Linked DNA regions of Rattus norvegicus. The protein of the gene in region 1 purifies or fractionates together with the protein of each later gene. This does not show direct contact. Links are inferred from orthologs where the notes say so. Each region holds a gene or a part of one and is shown on either strand. Other genes may lie near its edges.

Region 1 (8,897 bases):
TCCAAGTTTAAGGGGCTTCCCTGCAGGACTGAATGCTTCACTGATGTCTTTTTTTTTTTTTTTTAAAGATTTATTTATTTTATTTATACGTGTACACTGTAGCTGTCTTCAGACACACCAGAAGAGGGCATCAGATCCCATTACAGATGGTTGTGAGCCACCATGTGGTTGCTGGGAATTGAACTCAGGACCTCTGGAAGAGCAGCCAGTGCTCTTAACCGCTGAGCCATCTCTCCAGCCCTTTACTGATGTCTTAAGGAGTTTCCCTCAAAGTTGGAAGGTTTTATCTCAGAGGAAATTGCTGCCCAACAAAACCTTTTCGATCCTTGTAAAGATTCAGCAAGGTTAAGTGTTATACTTAGTCTAAGGCAATGGTTCTCAACCTTCCTAATGCCATGACACTTTAATGCAGTTCCACAGGTTGTGGTGACCCCACTAACCCACAAAATTATTTTTGTTGTTACTTCTTAACTGTATTTTCGGTACTGTTATGAATCGTGATGTTTCCCGATGGTCTTGGATGACCCCCAAGTGGGTCATGACCTACATGTTGAGAACCCCCGGTCTAAGGTAAGATTCCAGTGGATATCTGCAAGACACAGTGGAGACCAGGGCATCATCTTGTATCCATTAGGATAGCTCCTTGATCTTCTGGGCTTGTCTCCTTGCCATTTACCGCTAGTTTTGATTACTAGAGTATGAAGCCCGGCTCCGACTGTCGCTGGAGGATCAGCTATAGCACCGTTGACGAGCTGGCTGGAGGGTCCTTCTGCACTGAGCAGTATAGGAACTGTAAGGGGTGGAGGAGAAAGAAGCCTGGGCAGCAGGAGGTGGGAGCCACAGTGGGTGGCACCTCCCAAGGCCTCAGATATGGGGACCCCTTTAGGTCACTTAAGTGCTACAGCTCTATGTGGGCTGAGGGCGTGAGATCCCTCTGCCTGTGACAGCACCCAGTGTTACAGCTGTGGGCCTGGGTGTCCTTGAAGACTTGATAGTGCTGTGGGACTCTTCTGGTGACCAGAGCCTGTATTTCCTACTCTGTGGCTACTGATAGCCTGTTCTTCCTCATTCTCAGCCTTCCCTCCCGCTGCCCCCACCCTGCTGGCCACCCCTAACTGGCAGGTGCTGTGACTACAGCTGTCGAGTGGCTGGTAGGTTGGCTTTCAAAGGCCCCGAGTGCTGCTTCCTGGGGTGTCCCTGCTGCTTGCTGCTCCTTTTCAGCCAATTACCCTGTCAGGCTGTACAACTAGACCTGGGTAAGCAACGATCACTAGAAGGAAACTTCAGTGGGTCAACTGTTGCCATAGCAGGGAAGGCGGCATGGGAGTGTTTTTCGGCTGACACACCATGTGGGTCTGACCATCTTCCTTACATCACCCTCTCTAGACCACAATGGGAAGGAAGGCCCTTCTGGGGTAGGAGAAAATAAGAGTTTACTCAAGCACCATAATAATCTGGTAGAATGCCTTCTAAGGTGTGTGTGTGTGTGTGTGTGTGTGTGTGTGTGTGTGTGTGTGTGTGGTGTGTGGACTGTAAAATACCATCCTCTAGTCCACACACAGCTGTTGTAATCGCAACTGACAGCAGCTGTGGATGCCCGCCTGAGGTCTGCCCAAGAGTTGGCTCAAACGCAGTGAGGCAGGGGTGGCATAGGGACTCGAGGGTTCCTACCCTCACTTTGGACCTATTTGTCACTGACATATTCAAGAAGAGGGGGCTGTTGTCTTTGTGTACTCACAGGTGGCCCCACCAGGCTCCAGTGCATAGGTCCAACTCAATAGTCAAAAGAAAGTCCTGGTTAAACTAAATGGTCAGGAAAATAAAATCGGCATGAATCCGAGAAAGGGACCATAAGGAAGAGCTGGGTTGACACGGGTGGGAGAGAATAATCATAAACTGTCAAAAGGCAAAATCGATTAAAAAAAAAAAAAAAAAAAAAAGACCTGAGGCCAGAGAAATGACTCAGAAGTTAACAGCACTGGCTGCTCGGGTTGGATTCCCGGCGCCCACATGGTGGCTTTAAATCATCTGTAACTCCAGACGAACACCAAACAGCTCCTTGCCTTGAACTTTCTGCTTGCTGTGCTATTTTAGCCCTCCCGTGTTCAAACACCGTGATGCACACCCCACCCGACCTGCCGCTTGAATCCAATCCTGGCGTACAATTTTGGGGCAATAAAGCTACGGTCTTAAAAACCATTACTTAAAATGTTTTAAACATCATGTATAGGTGCGGGTGTCTGCATATGCACATGAGTGCAGGGGTGTGTGCAGAGGCCAGAGCTTCCATTAGGGCGGAAGCTCTCACCAGGGTGCTGGGAACTGACCAGAACTCAGGTCCTCTGGAAACAGCAAGTGCTGCTAACCAGTGAGCCATCTCTTCAGCCCTCAAGTTTATTTTAAAATGGGGGCGGGGGGGAGCCCCACGTTTTCCTTGTTGTATGTACTGGCTGATTTTGTGTGTCAACTTGACAGAAGGTAAGAGCCATCGGAGAGAAAGGAGCTTCAGTTGAGGAAATGCCGTGAAATTCGGCTAGAGGGCATTTTCTCAACTAGTTGATCAATGGGGAAGGCCTAGCTCACTTTGGGTGGTGGGTGCCATCCTTGGTGGTCCTGTGTTCTATAAGAAAGCAGGCCGAGCAAGCCATGTGAATCGAGCCAGTAAGCATCATCCCCCCCTCCTGGTTCTAGTCTTGCTTGAGTTCCTGACTTCCTCCAATGATGGACTATGAAGGGGAGATGGAAACCAAATAAACCCTTTCCTTCCCAGCTTGCTTTTTGGTCATGGTGTTTTCGTTGCAGCAAGAGAAACCCTGAGACACTGTAGAAATCGAGATCTTGTCTGTGAACACTAAGCACTGTACCCGACAGTTTTTAATCTAGCTATATTGAATAAAGTTGGTAAAATGGCTGTATGTGTTCACGAAGCTGGCAGCAGGGCACAGAGGTGCACCCGAATGAGGAAGATGGAAAGTAACGGGAAAGGGGTTGCTGGGGACACAACTCTGATTCGTGAAGCCCTGACTTTATATTCCCAAACCACAGGAGGGATGGTGGTGAGAACGTAATAAAAATGTGAAAACTTCATAGAACATGCTTGGGGGGGCTAATATCCCATGAGTTCGAGGTCAGCCTGGGCTGAATAAAGCCCGTCTCAAAGGTAGCAGCGTTCAGAAGGGGCAGATTAAACACTGGCTGGCTCGCACGGAACATGTCTGCAGGAGTTTGCTGCAGAGGAACAGGGCGGAGCATCGCTAGCCGCTACCACGGGCCGGGCTCGGGCCTTGTCTGGGTCACCCGGCCTGAAGGGCTTTGGAGTTGTTAATTTCTCACGGACTCGCTTGGGCGAGCAGAGTGGCACGGGGCAAGAGTCACATTAGCTTAACCGGGCCACCAGCCCACCGTAAACGGCCAATAACCGCTTTGGGGGGTCAGGCCTCGGCCCACCATCTTTGTGCCGCCCGAGGGGAGCTGACGCCAGGTGCGGGCCGGCCCCAACAGTCAAGTTTTCAAAAAGCCCGCGCGGGGCCCCGGGCAGATCCGTTGGGAACGGCCAGAATTCCCGCGAGGGCGCGCGAGGACGAGGCGTGCGGGCGACAGCCAGCTCCGCACAGGAGGCGCCGGGCCAGCGCTCAAGAGGTGCGCGCCCGTCCCGCAGCGGCGGAAAACGGAAGTGTGATCCAGGTTCTGTCGCTGATTGGCTATCCGGACACGTCCCTCAAGGGGCTGGCGCGAACGCCACTGAGGAGTTGGGCCTGGGGATCCGGCAAAGGGAGGGAGGGAAGGCTGCGGGAACAGCCGCGCGGCTGACAGGAAACGCTCCGCGGACGCGCGCGGAGGGCTTTGGCGGGCCGTCTCCGGGGTGCTGCAGCACCGCGTCGAGGGCGAGCGTGGAGGCGGAAGAAGCGGCAGACGCCAAGGAGCCCGAGGCCGGGACGGAAACCGCGGAGGGCGGGGAGGCCGCGGCCTAGAGCGGCGCTGCGGCGCGGTAGGCGGGACTAAGGCGAGCGCGGAGGCGATTGGCTGGCGGCCCGGCGTCGCTGGTGACGCACCGCGCGGGGAGGGTGCGCGCGCCTTCAGCGGCCTCTTTGTGTGGTGTCCTGATAGGGGAGCGGAGGTGGCGGCCGCGGCGGCCCTGGTAGGGTTCCAGCGTCCTCGGCTCGCCCTCGGGCCGGCAGCGCGCCCCTTCCCTCCCCCTCCCGCCCCTTCCCCGCCGGCGGCGGCGGCGGCCGGGCCCGGGCTCTGACGAGGCCTCGGCGACCGCTTAACGGCGACGGCGACGCCGCGGAGCGCGCAGGGCGGGGGCAGGGCCCGGGCGTCCGACATGGAGAACTCGCAGCTGTGCAAGCTGTTCATCGGCGGCCTGAACGTGCAGACGAGTGAGTCGGGGCTGCGCGGCCACTTCGAGGCCTTCGGGACGCTGACGGACTGCGTGGTGGTGGTGAACCCCCAGACGAAGCGCTCCCGCTGCTTCGGCTTCGTGACCTACTCGAACGTGGAGGAGGCGGACGCCGCCATGGCCGCGTCGCCGCACGCGGTGGACGGCAACACGGTGGAGCTGAAGCGCGCCGTGTCGCGCGAGGATTCGGCGCGGCCCGGGGCCCACGCCAAGGTGAAGAAGCTGTTCGTGGGCGGCCTCAAGGGCGACGTGGCGGAGGGCGACCTGATCGAGCACTTCTCGCAGTTCGGCGCCGTGGAGAAGGCGGAGATCATCGCCGACAAGCAGTCCGGCAAGAAGCGCGGCTTCGGCTTCGTCTACTTCCAGAGCCACGACGCGGCCGACAAGGCGGCGGTGGTCAAGTTCCACCCGATCCAGGGCCACCGCGTGGAGGTGAAGAAGGCGGTGCCCAAGGAGGATATCCACGCGGGCGGCGGGGGCGCGCGGGCGGCCCGGGGCGGGCGCGGCGGCGGCCGGGGCCGCGGCGGCGGCGGGGGAGGCGGCGGCGGCCGAGACCAGAACGGGCTGGCCAAGGGCGGCGGCGGCGGCTACAACAGCTACGGCGGCTACGGGGGCTACGGCGCCTACGGGGGCGGCGGCGGCGGCGGCTCGTACGGCGGCAGCGACTACGGCAACGGCTTCGGCGGCTTCGGCAGCTACAGCCAGCACCAGTCCTCGTACGGGCCGATGAAGAGCGGCGGAGGCGGAGGCGGAGGCGGCGGCAGCTGGGGCGGCCGCAGCAACAGTGGACCGTACAGAGGCGGCTACGGCGGCGGCGGCGGCGGCGGCTACGGCGGAGGCTCGTTCTAGAAGCCGGGTTCCGGATGCCAGCGGCGGCGGCGGCAGGCGCGGCCTCCCTCGCCCTCCGCGCCCACCCCAGGTGCCCCCGGGAGAGCCGCTCACCCCGGGGGGCGCGACCCCCGCTTGCCTGCCCGTCCCCGTCCCCCCGAAGGTGGACTCGGCCCCACACACACATTTTTGTGTTACAGTCATTGATGGACTCTATTTTTTTATTATTACTTGGACCTTGGTCGTTTTTATACTAGCAAGATGTCTCGTTTTAATTTGTGTTTTTTGGGGGGGCGGCGGGCGGGGGGCTGAACTTGCTGATTCTGTAGCAAAACCGGGGTGGGGGTTGGGTGGGAGGGTAGTTTACTTTGTTGTAAGGACTTGATACCTGGCTACAGCGTTTTCTATGAAACCTACTTGGATCCCATGCCTGAAATTTGGAAGCATATGTACAAAAATCATTTTTACGTTTTATTTTTAATAAATCATTGTGTTTGACCGTACATGTCTAACATTTTTTTTCTAGGATCCACTCCTTACCGTTTTAAAGGAAATTTTTGTTAGGTTTTGATGTGTACTTTGAGAAGCTTCAAGGAGGTCTTGTGGGTTCTTTTTTTTTTCTCCTTCCTGTTTGCCCAGTTAGTGATGTGTTGAATTTAACCTTTTACAGACAAAACGTTTTGAAGTGGTGGATGTGGCTGTTCAGTTTCTGTGCATCCATCTCTGTAATAAGCGGTTTGCTTATCATCTTGACATGGTTGGTTCTTCTTTCTCTGAGAATTTACTCAAAATATGTACTGTGTAGTTTTAAAAGAAACAGTTTGTGTTTAAAGCATGTGTTCTCATTCATATAAACTGTTTAAAACTTTTTTAGATGACCTAGTTTCACCCTTATTGGTTTGTCTGTAATGAATGGTTACAAATAAGGGTTCTATTTTACCCTAACACTAAATGAGTTTTTTTAAGATGTATTTTCAGAGCAGGTTTAAAAAAAACCGTTTCTTCCCTAAGTCTGAACTTTGTCCTTTTAAGTCCAACCGATGTAGCACCATCTGCTGGTAGAGTGGCAGTATAGCTGCAAGAAAGTTGGTTTAAAAAAACCAATTTCATCAGATTTAGCAGTTTGCCACCAGAAGTCTGCAGACTTGAAAGGTCCGCATTTACTTGTAGCTGAGACGGGCTTCCCAGGAGTGTAGTTAACAGCCCGTGATCAGTCGCTTTTCTACGTGAGATTTGAATATGTAAACTGCTATGCATAGCTTGGGCAGTAGCCCCAAACTGCTCTGATAGCTACTGAAGCAGCTGTGTGTACTGGGGTTTTAGGTGCAAGTTGTAAAACAAAATATCTGTATTCTGCTTGGTTAACGTGTATTTGTAGCCCTTCATGCAATAGAATTCAAGTTGTTGTTTATAAAAAAAAAAACAAACACTGATAATAGGAGAAAATTGCCTTCCTGAATAGAAACATAGAATAGCAACGTTTATGGATATCACAAATAAAGACTTCAATTCTTACATGATCGAGTGAGAGTATGTATAACCTGGTGGGTGGGTTCAGAGTACCAGTTAACTTGCTGGGTTTAATGGTATGGTAAGAATCCGGCTCAGTTTGAAAGCCCAAAGCCTTATAGTAGCAAGCTTTTGGGAAGATTTTTTTTTTTCACATTTTAAAATATTTTATGTGGGAACCTCCACATTTTAAGTTTTCTATAATTTCTAAGATCAGACTCTAGCCAAAATACTGTAATTACTAAGGCTCTTACAAAGGTAGGAGAGGGCCAACGTTAGGCTGGTTTGCCCAGTGCAGTGAACCATAGCTGATGCTCGGTCCAAGAATTTAACAGTCGACAGTGTAGGGGTGTGTTTGCACATGAAAGTAAGAATTGCATGAACTTCTTTTTCACCATTCTTCCCTTAAATTCCTGCTTGAAACTACACTTGAAGATCTAATGCAGGCTCTTTGGGATCCCTCTAGGGTACAGGAAAAGATCTAAAACTCACGTTAACCTCTGATTTAAGGTTATATTTGATGAAAAAACTGAGCTGTTAGGTATTGTGGAAGATTGTCACATGTGAGGTGGTCAGTTTTTCAGTAAGTGACTTGTAAAAAGGTAGTGGATGACTTAAAATTCCATAAGATCCCACAGTTCCAGGTCTATTAACAGATCAGTGTTGGCGGTGAAAGGAAGATGGTAATGTTTTTGTAGGCACTTCCTGTGTTCCCCTAGCCAGCCTTTGGCACGTAGCGTGTTTTAAATGGGTAGACAACTGTGATGTCTTGCTTCACCGGTGAGAACTTGGAGGACAGGAGGTGGTGATAAGAGTCCTTTGAGTATAGTTTGTCATGCCTGAATGTTTGCTGATTTTTCCAGAGTGTAAGTTGTAAGGTAATTATTAGTTAATAGTGTGGAAGATCCTTACATTGGTTTGTGTGTGAGCGTGTGCCTTTCACCCAGCACCTGTGGAGGCAGGAGGACGCTTTGGAGTCCACTCTCCTGTTGGCTGGGTCTGGGGATCTGAGTTCCTTTACCAGCTGAGCCATATTTGATGGACATCTTTAAAGATGGTAATAGGATGCCTAGCGAGCGCAAGGCCCTGGGTTCGGTCCCCAGCTCTGAAGAAAAAAAAAAAAAAAGGTGGCCAAAAAAAAGATGGTAATAGGATCTTTTTAAGTGTACTTTTGAAAAAAGGGGAATGTGTGTGCGAGTGCAGGTTCCTGCAGAGCTCAGAGTCTGGAGCTGGACTATAGGTTGCCAGATGTGGGGGGGGGGGGGGGTCCTCTTCAAAAGCTGAGCCATCTCCAGACCCCAGAATTCCAAATCTTTAGAGTTTAAAAGTGATTTAGGTCATAAAGTGCTATCAAGTATGACTTGAATGTGCACATGCTTAAATCCTAATGTGGATTCTCGTTTTTAGGAAAGAGACAGAGGTTGGCTGAGAATTTGGAATTTAGGATTCCTTCCCTCAAGACCACAGGTCTGTGGATTTGTAGACCTTGTTGCTTACAGTTTTGGTTTGGATCACTTGTATTTCAGGTTGCTGTCTACGTGTCTGCTAATTGGAAGTGTACTTGGGAGTGTGGGTGGGTTCGAGCACTGCCTGCCTGTAGCTAGTATGTGGGTGTGACCTGGGTAACATCCACACTTGAAAGTTTCTTCCAATTCCAGCGTCAGTGTGATAGGGAAAATCTCTCAGCCTTATTTTGGCCTGGTTTGTCCCCCATCCCGATACTTTGATTTCTTGTCGTATATCCTTAGCTGGCTTGAAACTTGCCATGTAGACCACACCGCCCTGAATTCTTTGGCATACCTAGTGCTAGGATTACAGATAGTTGCTCTTTGGGTTCTTTGGAAGGACCAGCCACTGCCCGGCTAAGTGGGGCTGTTTTCTGCTTGCAGTCCCATTGCAGATGGGCTTGATGTCCTCTCTTCCTGCTCTCTTAAAAGTGGAAGATGGCATTTTCCCCCCTATAAAAAGTTCCTTGAAAGCCTAAGAAGTAGTTAGGAGTTCGCGTGTTATTTCTGATTTCAGTCCGCAGACATCCCGTGAAGAGGCCCTGTTACCTCTGTTGTACCGGGCTGCAGATCCCTAACGTAAGCAGTCTGCCTTCAGATGCTAGACTGCTCAGCTGCTCTTCGGTGTTACACGGTGAGTTCTGAGGTCATAGTGG
Region 2 (8,797 bases), on another chromosome or scaffold:
GAGGTCTTGAGTTCAAATCCCAGCAACCACATGGTGTCTTATAGCCATCTGTAATGAGATCTGATGCCCTCTTCTGGTGTGTCTGAAGATAGCGGCAATGTACTTTTTTTTTTTGGTTCTTTTTTTCGGAGCTGGGGACCGAACCCAGGGCCTTGGGCTTCCTAGGCAAGCGCTCTACCACTGAGCTAAATCCCCAACCCCGGCAATCTACTCTTATACATAAAATAAATAAATAAATCTTTAAAAACAATGTTCGGATACTAAGGAAACAAACCAATAGTGAAAGCCAGGGTGTAGCATGCACTTAGGATACCAGCAAGTGGGGGTGGGTTCCAGTATCATTCTTTAGTTATGTGAAACTTGGTTTTCACACTAAACCAGAGATGAAAAAAATACTATGTGGAAGGATGTTTAATATATGGGCATCTTTGAGTAATCTTGAGTCTTGTTATTCTGCAAATAAAAATTAAAAAAGCCCAAGTACTGACATTTGACGTTTTCTCTTGTAGATTGTACCACCCCCACCCATACTTAGTGACACATCTGATAGCACAGCAAGTACTGGAGAAGGCTTACCACCACCCATGGGAGGACCACTTCCTCCTCATCTGGCTCTCAAAGCAGGTAAGGGACTTGAATATGTCTGCTTGACTGAGAATAACACAATCATGTTTGATCATCCATCTCACCATTTGTCAATAAACATGTTTATTAGATCATCCCACTTAAGCAGCCACTGTTTGAGTTTATTATAAGAGATTTAAGTTTTATAGGTGTTTACCTGCAATACTTCTGGGCACTAAGTGGGTTAAAGAATTTTGTGAGTTGTCTTTTTTTGTGTTTATGTTCCTGTGTGTCAGATTTAGGGCTTTGCATATATAAGATACCCTGTGGTATCTAATATGTAACCTTTTGTTTTTTCCTACTTGTAATAGGATTTGTAGATTCTAGCCCTGCTGAAATTTTTATTTGGATTAGAGTAAGATTTTGACTTACTAATACTGAAACAATTTACAGCATCTATCCCATTGCTTTGTCTAGTAAAAGTTGAGCAATAACACAAAGCTGTAATAATAACCTGTCACGGGGTTGGGGATTTAGCTCAGTGGTAGAGCGCTTGCCTAGGAAGCGCAAGGCCCTGGGTTCGGTCCCTAGCTCCAAAAAAAAGAACCAAAAAAAAAAAAAAACCTGTCACTATGGAGTTGATGCATATTGGTGTTTGCCTGCAGTACCTGGGGAGGCCACAAGGGGATACCACTCCCTACAATTGGTGCTAACCGGAACCTTCATGGCTACTGCATCTCAGTCCTCAGTGCTCTTAACTGCTGAACCATCTCTTGAGCACCCCACTCTAGTTTTACAAAGAGTCAAAACTTCTAGGGGCTACTAATTAATAGTCCTGGGATTAGCTTTCATTTCAGAATCTTTATTAGGTTTGGGGTTTTTGTTTCTATTTAGGCTGTAATTTGGAGAACGAACTTGAACTTTTAGATCCTTCTGTTTCTCTCTCCCCAAAACTGGGCTTCAGTCATGTTCATCACACGAGTGTTGTTATTCTGTGGTGAGGGTTAAACCCAGTGCTTGCTTGGTTTGTAAACGAGCATTGATTGTATTAACCGACCTTCATTCCCAGCATCTCCAAAGAACATTTTACTTTAAAAAAGATTTATTGGGCCAAACATGGTGGCATGGACCTTTAACTCTAGCACTTGGGAGGCAGAAGCAAATATCTCTTGAGTTCAAAGGTGTTCTGGTCTACATACCAGAGCTACAGCCAGAGCTACATAATATAGAGACAGACTAACCTCCCCTGCGTGTTTCCATATTCTTGTGTTTGAGGCCCCTTTATAGCCAGGGCAAAACCCATTCAGCATACAAACTCAGAATCAGGCTGATACCTTTGCCAGCTAGACATTTCCTAGCTGGATAATTTTGTCCTTAGTTTGTTATTCTGAATATAAAGACAACTAAGCGCCTTAAAAGTACATGTTAGTGCTGAGGAGAAAGAGACAACCAAGCATAAGGAGTTATGTTCTATACCCACCAGCATCCACAATGTGCAATCAGATGGGTCTGTGAGAAAGATGGCTGGCCGGCTAGGTACCTTAATGTATTTTACTGTTCTGTGAAGGAAAAAAAGTCCAGTGAAAGGACTTATTTATTCTGCTTCATAGTTCATGACAAGATTCAAGGTGACAGAAACTTGAAGCAGTTGGTCACCTTGCAGAGTGCAATGAATTTGTGCTGTTAACTGTTAGTTTCAGTTTCTGTTTTTACTGTCCAAGTAACGAAGCATTTATAGTGGACAGGTCTATCTTCTTTCTCTCTAACAGACCATACTACCAGGGGATTTGGAGTAAAGTTACCAGTTAACATTAACTATCAGACTAACCTACTTGTCTGTTTTGTGGAGATTATACTATGGCCTCCACATGCATAGACATAGACACACGCAAAGAAATAAGGCTGATCAGCATAGTTCTCATTAGTTTAGACGTCCTTCCAGATTATTGAAAACATGTATCCAAACATGGAGTGTCAAATTGTCATTAGGGATAATCTTTAAAATATGTAGATGTAGCTCCCCCACCCCCAAACTTGATAATTAAAAGAGCAATTTTTTTTTTAAGCAGAAAATAATTCTGGAGTTGAGTCTTCATCTGGCTATGGTTCTCCTGGACCCACCTGGGACCGAGGAGCCAACTTAAAGGATTACTACTCAAGAAAGGAAGAGCAAGAGGTGCAAGCGGTAAGCAGTCTCATGTAGTACATGCTTGAAAGTGGGATTACTTACACATTTTGAGACAATCTTGAATCCCAGTCTGGTCTTCATTCCAGTGGCCCTAGCTTAATAGCCTATTTTACTAGTTGTTAGATCTAGCCTGGTGTACATCTTGTAGTCTCAGCATTAGGGTCAGGAGAATGACTAGCTCAAGACCAGGCTGGACTATAGGGTTCTAAGAACATAGTGATGTCCTATCTCAAAAATACAGGCTCAGTGATAAAGTGGTTGTCTAGCCATGTTCAAACCCCTGGATCTCAGCACTACAAAAATGTAGTTTTATATTGAAAAAAGCTGTATGTTATTTAGTATTCCTTATGTACATATAAGTAGCGCAGCCAAATTTAATCATCATTGATTCTACAGACTCTAGAGTCAGAAGAAGTGGATTTAAATGCTGGGCTTCATGGAAACTGGACTTTGGAAAATGCTAAGGCTCGTCTGAACCAGTATTTCCAAAAAGAAAAAATCCAAGGAGAATATAAGTACACCCAAGTGGGTCCCGACCACAACAGGTTTGCTTGTTTCACTATTTTCCTTGTAAAAAATTAAGGTGATTTGACTTTGTTTACTAAGTGTTCCTCAGTTAATTCTGTGCAGCAGCAGTGAATTGTGAAAAGATATATAACTATAGTTTACCATAACTTTTGCTTAAGAATGTAATGCTATTCTATAAGAAGTCCTGCAAAAGGTCTGTTGCTGGACTTTGATGCCAGTTAATATCTACAGTGGTCGTTTGCTAGTTGTTGACTTAATTGGTCAGAGGTGGTGATTTTTTTCTCCCCAGTGTAGTTTTATTGGTGATAGCTTTAAATACTTAAATGGTTCTGCAGTGTTTTGTTGTCTTAGAAGTAGATTGTATGTATTACCTATACATCCAAATTTGACCTCGGTTTAATGTTGACAGCTCTTTTAAGAATCCTGTTACTTGAGTACTATGAAGTTAAAGGATCGCGAAGTTCTTATGTATGGTTTAAATAGAATGCCTTTTTTTCCTGTTAAGCTTATAAAACAATGTAAGGGAAGATAATGTGACCGTATGTTTCTCAGCCTGCTTGATGTTCTTCCTAAGAGCATTCCAGGGTGTAGTACTTATTACTCCCAGGAAGGCTCATACAGATTAGATTCTTCAGGGAGGCACTGCATTATTATTGGAAGAGAAAAGGAAGTGGTTCTGGAAAATAACGATTCGATTTGCTGTCTTTAATTATAAAAAATAAATTATCCAAAATAAATTTAAAACATTTTTCTGAAATTAAAGTGTTCTCCCTTGGGTGCAAGTAGCAACCCTAAAATTATCATTACCCAAAACAAAAAACAAATTGACAACATATTCAAAATGATGAGAGCATGGCTCCTCCTGCTTCCTACTGCTTTGTTCAGTCCTGAATTCTCAAATACTACATACTTAGTGTTATATTTTTAAGATCGTTCTCCATTTTGGTGTCATAATTTTAAAAACAAAACTCCAGGCTGTAAAAAGACACCATTTCCTTTAATGCTTTGTCTACAACTTACTGCACTTGGCAGCTCCTGGTGGTTTTTCTTTTTTTAAGAATAAGTGAAAGGCTGGAGCACAGGAGTGGAATGTTTGCATAGCATGCATGAGGCCTTGAGCTCAAATTTCCAACATCAATGTTACCACTACTACTATTATTTTGAATTGCTGCCCTCCCCCCAGAAAAAAACCACCAACATTTGATGTCAGTATCTTACTGATTTCTGATGTAAAACAAAGAATTCGGGACAAGACAATGTAAGAGGCAGACAGTTGGAGCTGGGACACATTGCTCCTGTATGTCCTTTATTGAAAGGCATAACAGACAGCAACACCAGAGGTCTGTGTTCATATACACATGTGCTGATGCTTAGGCTGAACTAAGCAATCACATGGGAAACTATTGTAAACTGATTTCTGGTGTTGCTGTTCCCCCCTAGGTGGAGGAGAATGAGATTGAGTGCTGACTTTAAGCCTGGCTGAGAAACATACTGTCATCGGTGTCATTAATGAAAGGGTGGATGTTGTTCCCCTGAAAGCCAGTGGCCTTTGACCCCCCTTGAAGCCCTTGTGCCTGAAGGTCAGTTGACAAAGAAGTTTAGGAAGGAACCTAACTTATCTTTTTCCTTAAGTTTCACCTAAACTTTTATTCACAGCACAAAGCCAAGTTTGAGTGTGCCCGAGCAGTAAAGGACCAGCATAAAACCCTAAAACCTATATTTACTCCTAGGGCCTGCTAGCAGTTTTAGCTATCTATAATGTGAAAATGACTTTTGTCCTCTAGGCCCTGATTTAAGTATCTTAAAAAAGTAGGCTAAATTTTTTTGTAACCAAGGACTTCTTCCAGCTTGAGATAATTTGAACTCTGCCACAGGAGCTACTGGTATATAGTGGTTGCATGTGTAAACTACCCTAATAAGTTGCAGTTGTAAATTAGTATATATACATAGATACTTTTGAGGAGTTTGGTGTTTTTCTTAGCTCTCCAAGATAAGCAATCTTCTTTCATTGAAAGCATTCTTATATTGAGACACGAGCCTTGGAGTAAAAATAAGTAAATCTATAATCTAAAACCATAACTTTTTTTTCATGAAAGAAAGCTCATCAGCTGCTTTATAACTAATGTCCTATATATTTGCAGTTTACATACTTTCTGTTCTAGGACTGGACAAAAATAAGTGTTCAAAATGGTTTTTGCTGTAATGTCTTATCTAATGCAGTTGGAAAACCCTCCCTGACTAGGGAGATAATGGAGTAATTTACAGTGGTCAATTCCTAACTTTGATTGTATGTGTTGTTACAGGAGCTTTATTGCAGAAATGACCATTTATATCAAGCAGTTGGGCAGAAGTAAGTGTAATTACTTTTTAAAAATACTCTTATTAAACATTTTTGCAGAAATATTTTTACACTGAAGGCTTGGGCTACTATGGTAGAACATGTAACAGTGTAGAAGTAGTTATAAAATTTTCCATGAAGACAATCTTGGCATTTACATAAGTTGAAAAAAATTAATGTGAAAGAATAGATTGAGTAACACATAGGGTTGGAGGAGTTATTAATACTGTCAAGTGAAGGAGGGGAAGGTGTTAGCAGGCCTAGGGAAAGTTGAGACAAAGAGGTGTACAGTGGATAGTCCTTTGTCCTAATAAGCAGCTGTCACAACCTGTGGTAACTAACTGGTCTAGATCTTGAAATATGCTGAAAAATCTATTGAGGTAGCAAGTTTTAGGTCTCAGTAGTACCTGAAATATTAATGTTAGAATATTACTAATTTTTTCACAGGTTTTATCTCCCAATTTGCATATGTAAAAGATTCTACAGTAATATTTTAGTGGTCAAATCATGAAGGATTCAAGTTTGGAGTTAAAATAGGAAAATGGAATTTAACACAAGTTGGATTGGGTAATAGCATTAAAGGCCTAAAGATAGCTGTTTAGCAGCATGAGAGTGCAGTCAAAGCTAGGCGTGGGTTTAAGTGCAAGTATGCACTGTATGGATCGCTAAGGTATAAGGAGGACAGCCCATAAACTCCAGTCTAGTCTGGGTTACGGACTGAAACCTTGTTTTTTTTTTTTTTTTTTTTAAAGATTTATTTATTTATTATATATAAGTACACTGTAGCTGTCTTCAGATACACCAGAAGAGGGCATCGGATCTCTTTACAGATGGTTGTGAGCCACCATGTGGTTGCTGGGAATTGAACTCATGACCTCTGAAATAGCAGTCCGGTGCTCTTAACCGCTGAGCCATCTCTCCAGCCCCTGAAACCTTGTTTTAAAAAACAAGATGCTGGGTGGTGGTGGAACAATCCTGTAATTCAGGAGGTGGAGGCAGAGGAGGGTGCCAGCCTAGTTTACAAAGTGAAATCTAAGACACCCTGCACTACGTAGAGGAAACCCTGTCTGGAGCAACAAAACAAACAGAAAACCCCCCAAAAGGTTTAAGGATAGTCTGAGAAAGCAAATAGGTGAGATGGATTTAGGAGATTAGTAGACTGATTACTTGAAGGCTATGGAGTTTGGTCCCCTGTACCACAAAACAAGCCGAGGTGCTTTGCCTATGATGAACAAGTTCTTGTGCTTTATATCAGTATAATGTGCAAACATTGTTCTTTTCATGTTGTGTCTCAATGGTAGTGAGTTCAGATTTTGTTGGCCCTGAATGTACATATTTTCTATGAAACAAACCAAAAAACAAAATTTTTAAGTATGAGGACTGGCGGCTTATACTTAGTTGGCAGTTATTTGCATAAATTTCTGGGGCCTGGGGTTGATTCCAAAGTATGTTATAAGCTAGGGAAGGAGGTACAGGCCTAGCCCTGGGAGATGATGCAGGAGAATCAGAAAAGTGTCCGGGCTGTGAGAGCAGCAATTCAGAATACTGTGAAATACTCCCTGTCTTAAAACAGCCACCAAAAAAACAAAAACCACCCTTCTTGGAGGCTATGATTTGGCTACACTAGACTCTCTCAAAACAACCAAACAAAAACCATGAGGTCATTAACCCTGAGAAAACAGAATAGAAGTCATCCATGGAAAACGATAGGCTGAGAATGGTGCCTATGTTCTTTATTTTTTGAGGACTAAGATTAAGACCTGTCAGGTATGTTAGGGTAAAAAGGGGGTATCTCTGTATCTGTTTAACTGACAGACTCTTACTTTATGTAATTCATACCATATAACAGTGGCTCAATTCATTTGATTGGGAGAGTTGGAAGAATGGCCTGAAATACTTTGTAAAGTATTTAACAAAAATACTTATCAGTCTATGGAAAACTTTGATGTATATAACCTATAGTCAGTAGTTGTTTTGACTTTTTTTTTTTTTTTTTTCATTTTGAATTAAGGTCTTGTGTAGCTCTGACCTGGGTGGAACTAACATTCTGTGTTGAGTCTGGATATTTTGTGACAGGCTAATGGACTTGATAATGGCTCTCATTAAACTTGTTTTGGAATCCTCACATAATTTTAAACTGCAGAGCTTATTAGGTAGAAATATTTTGACAGATCTAAGCAATGACTGTATATTCAATTTTGTCTTATACTTGTTTTTAAATATCTGCATACCAGAGAACAACATCAGACAGGCGTGAGCTGCCATGTGGGTGACGGGAATTGAATTTGAAACCTTTTGGAAGAGCAATGAGTGCTCTTAACCACTGAGCCATCTTAGAGTTTAATTCCCAGCAACTACATGGTGGCTCATAACTTTCTGTAATGAGATATGATGCCCTCTTCTGGCATACATGCAGGAAGAACACTGCACAATAAGTAAATCTTTTTTTAAATGACAATTTTGTGCCAGTCTTTATCAAAATGATTAGTTTTAGGTTGTAGAACTGTATTTAGTAAATAAAATGAGAAGATCTATGCTGTAGTATCAATGTTTCTTTTAGTACATAAATACCTAGTTTCTGATGGTTCATTACACAGCTCATTTGTCTTTGGTAATCTTTATAGGGATTTTTGCACGTGAACATGGATCAAATAAGAAATTAGCAGCACAGTCATGTGCCCTCTCACTAGTCCGACAACTCTATCATCTTGGAGTGATTGAAGCTTACTCTGGTCTTACAAAGAAGAAAGAAGGAGAGAGAGTAAGTTCTTAGGTATAACCATAGTATTTAGATGAGGGGCATTATAGTGGGGATAAAGATTAGGGCTTTTAAATGCCAGACAAACAATGTTTTACTTCTGAGCTATATTCTAAGCTCAATACTTAGTAATGAAGAAATTAAAATAATTATACTAATCAATACTTTATGAAGAACTTATGTTTATAGGGGCCATTGAGTGAGTCATTGGTGAAATTCTGACTTAGAGAGTTGTTGGTTTCTGGCAATCAATAATAGCCCTAATGTCAGCTATATGTTAGTTTAGGTGAAATTAGTAGTTTTAAATTATATTCATGGGTATATTCATGATTTTCTTTGCTCCTTCTTTGTAGGTGGAGCCTTACAAAGTTTTCCTTTCCCCAGATTTGGAGCTTCAGTTGCAAAATGTGGTTCAAGAGCT

The links.
Region 2: the proteins of Hnrnpa0 (region 1) and Dhx9 purify together in Homo sapiens (affinity purification with mass spectrometry; 3 studies listed by BioGRID and IntAct, with this or other methods). This does not show direct contact. The link is inferred for Rattus norvegicus from reciprocal best matches to the Homo sapiens genes HNRNPA0 and DHX9.

What each region holds. Positions count from the first base shown.
Region 1 is NC_086035.1:6,509,045-6,517,941, forward strand, and holds Hnrnpa0 (heterogeneous nuclear ribonucleoprotein A0), read left to right. Parts: upstream 1-4,084; 5' UTR 4,085-4,324; coding exon 4,325-5,248; 3' UTR 5,249-6,742; downstream 6,743-8,897. UniProt on the Homo sapiens protein: mRNA-binding component of ribonucleosomes. Specifically binds AU-rich element (ARE)-containing mRNAs. Involved in post-transcriptional regulation of cytokines mRNAs.
Region 2 is NC_086031.1:68,172,692-68,181,488, reverse strand, and holds part of Dhx9 (ATP-dependent RNA helicase A), read left to right. Parts: intron 1-509; coding exon 510-624; intron 625-2,630; coding exon 2,631-2,749; intron 2,750-3,148; coding exon 3,149-3,297; intron 3,298-4,720; exon of another isoform or gene 4,721-4,860; intron 4,861-5,583; coding exon 5,584-5,630; intron 5,631-8,242; coding exon 8,243-8,379; intron 8,380-8,729; coding exon 8,730-8,797. UniProt on the Homo sapiens protein: Multifunctional ATP-dependent nucleic acid helicase that unwinds DNA and RNA in a 3' to 5' direction and that plays important roles in many processes, such as DNA replication, transcriptional activation, post-transcriptional RNA regulation, mRNA translation and RNA-mediated gene silencing.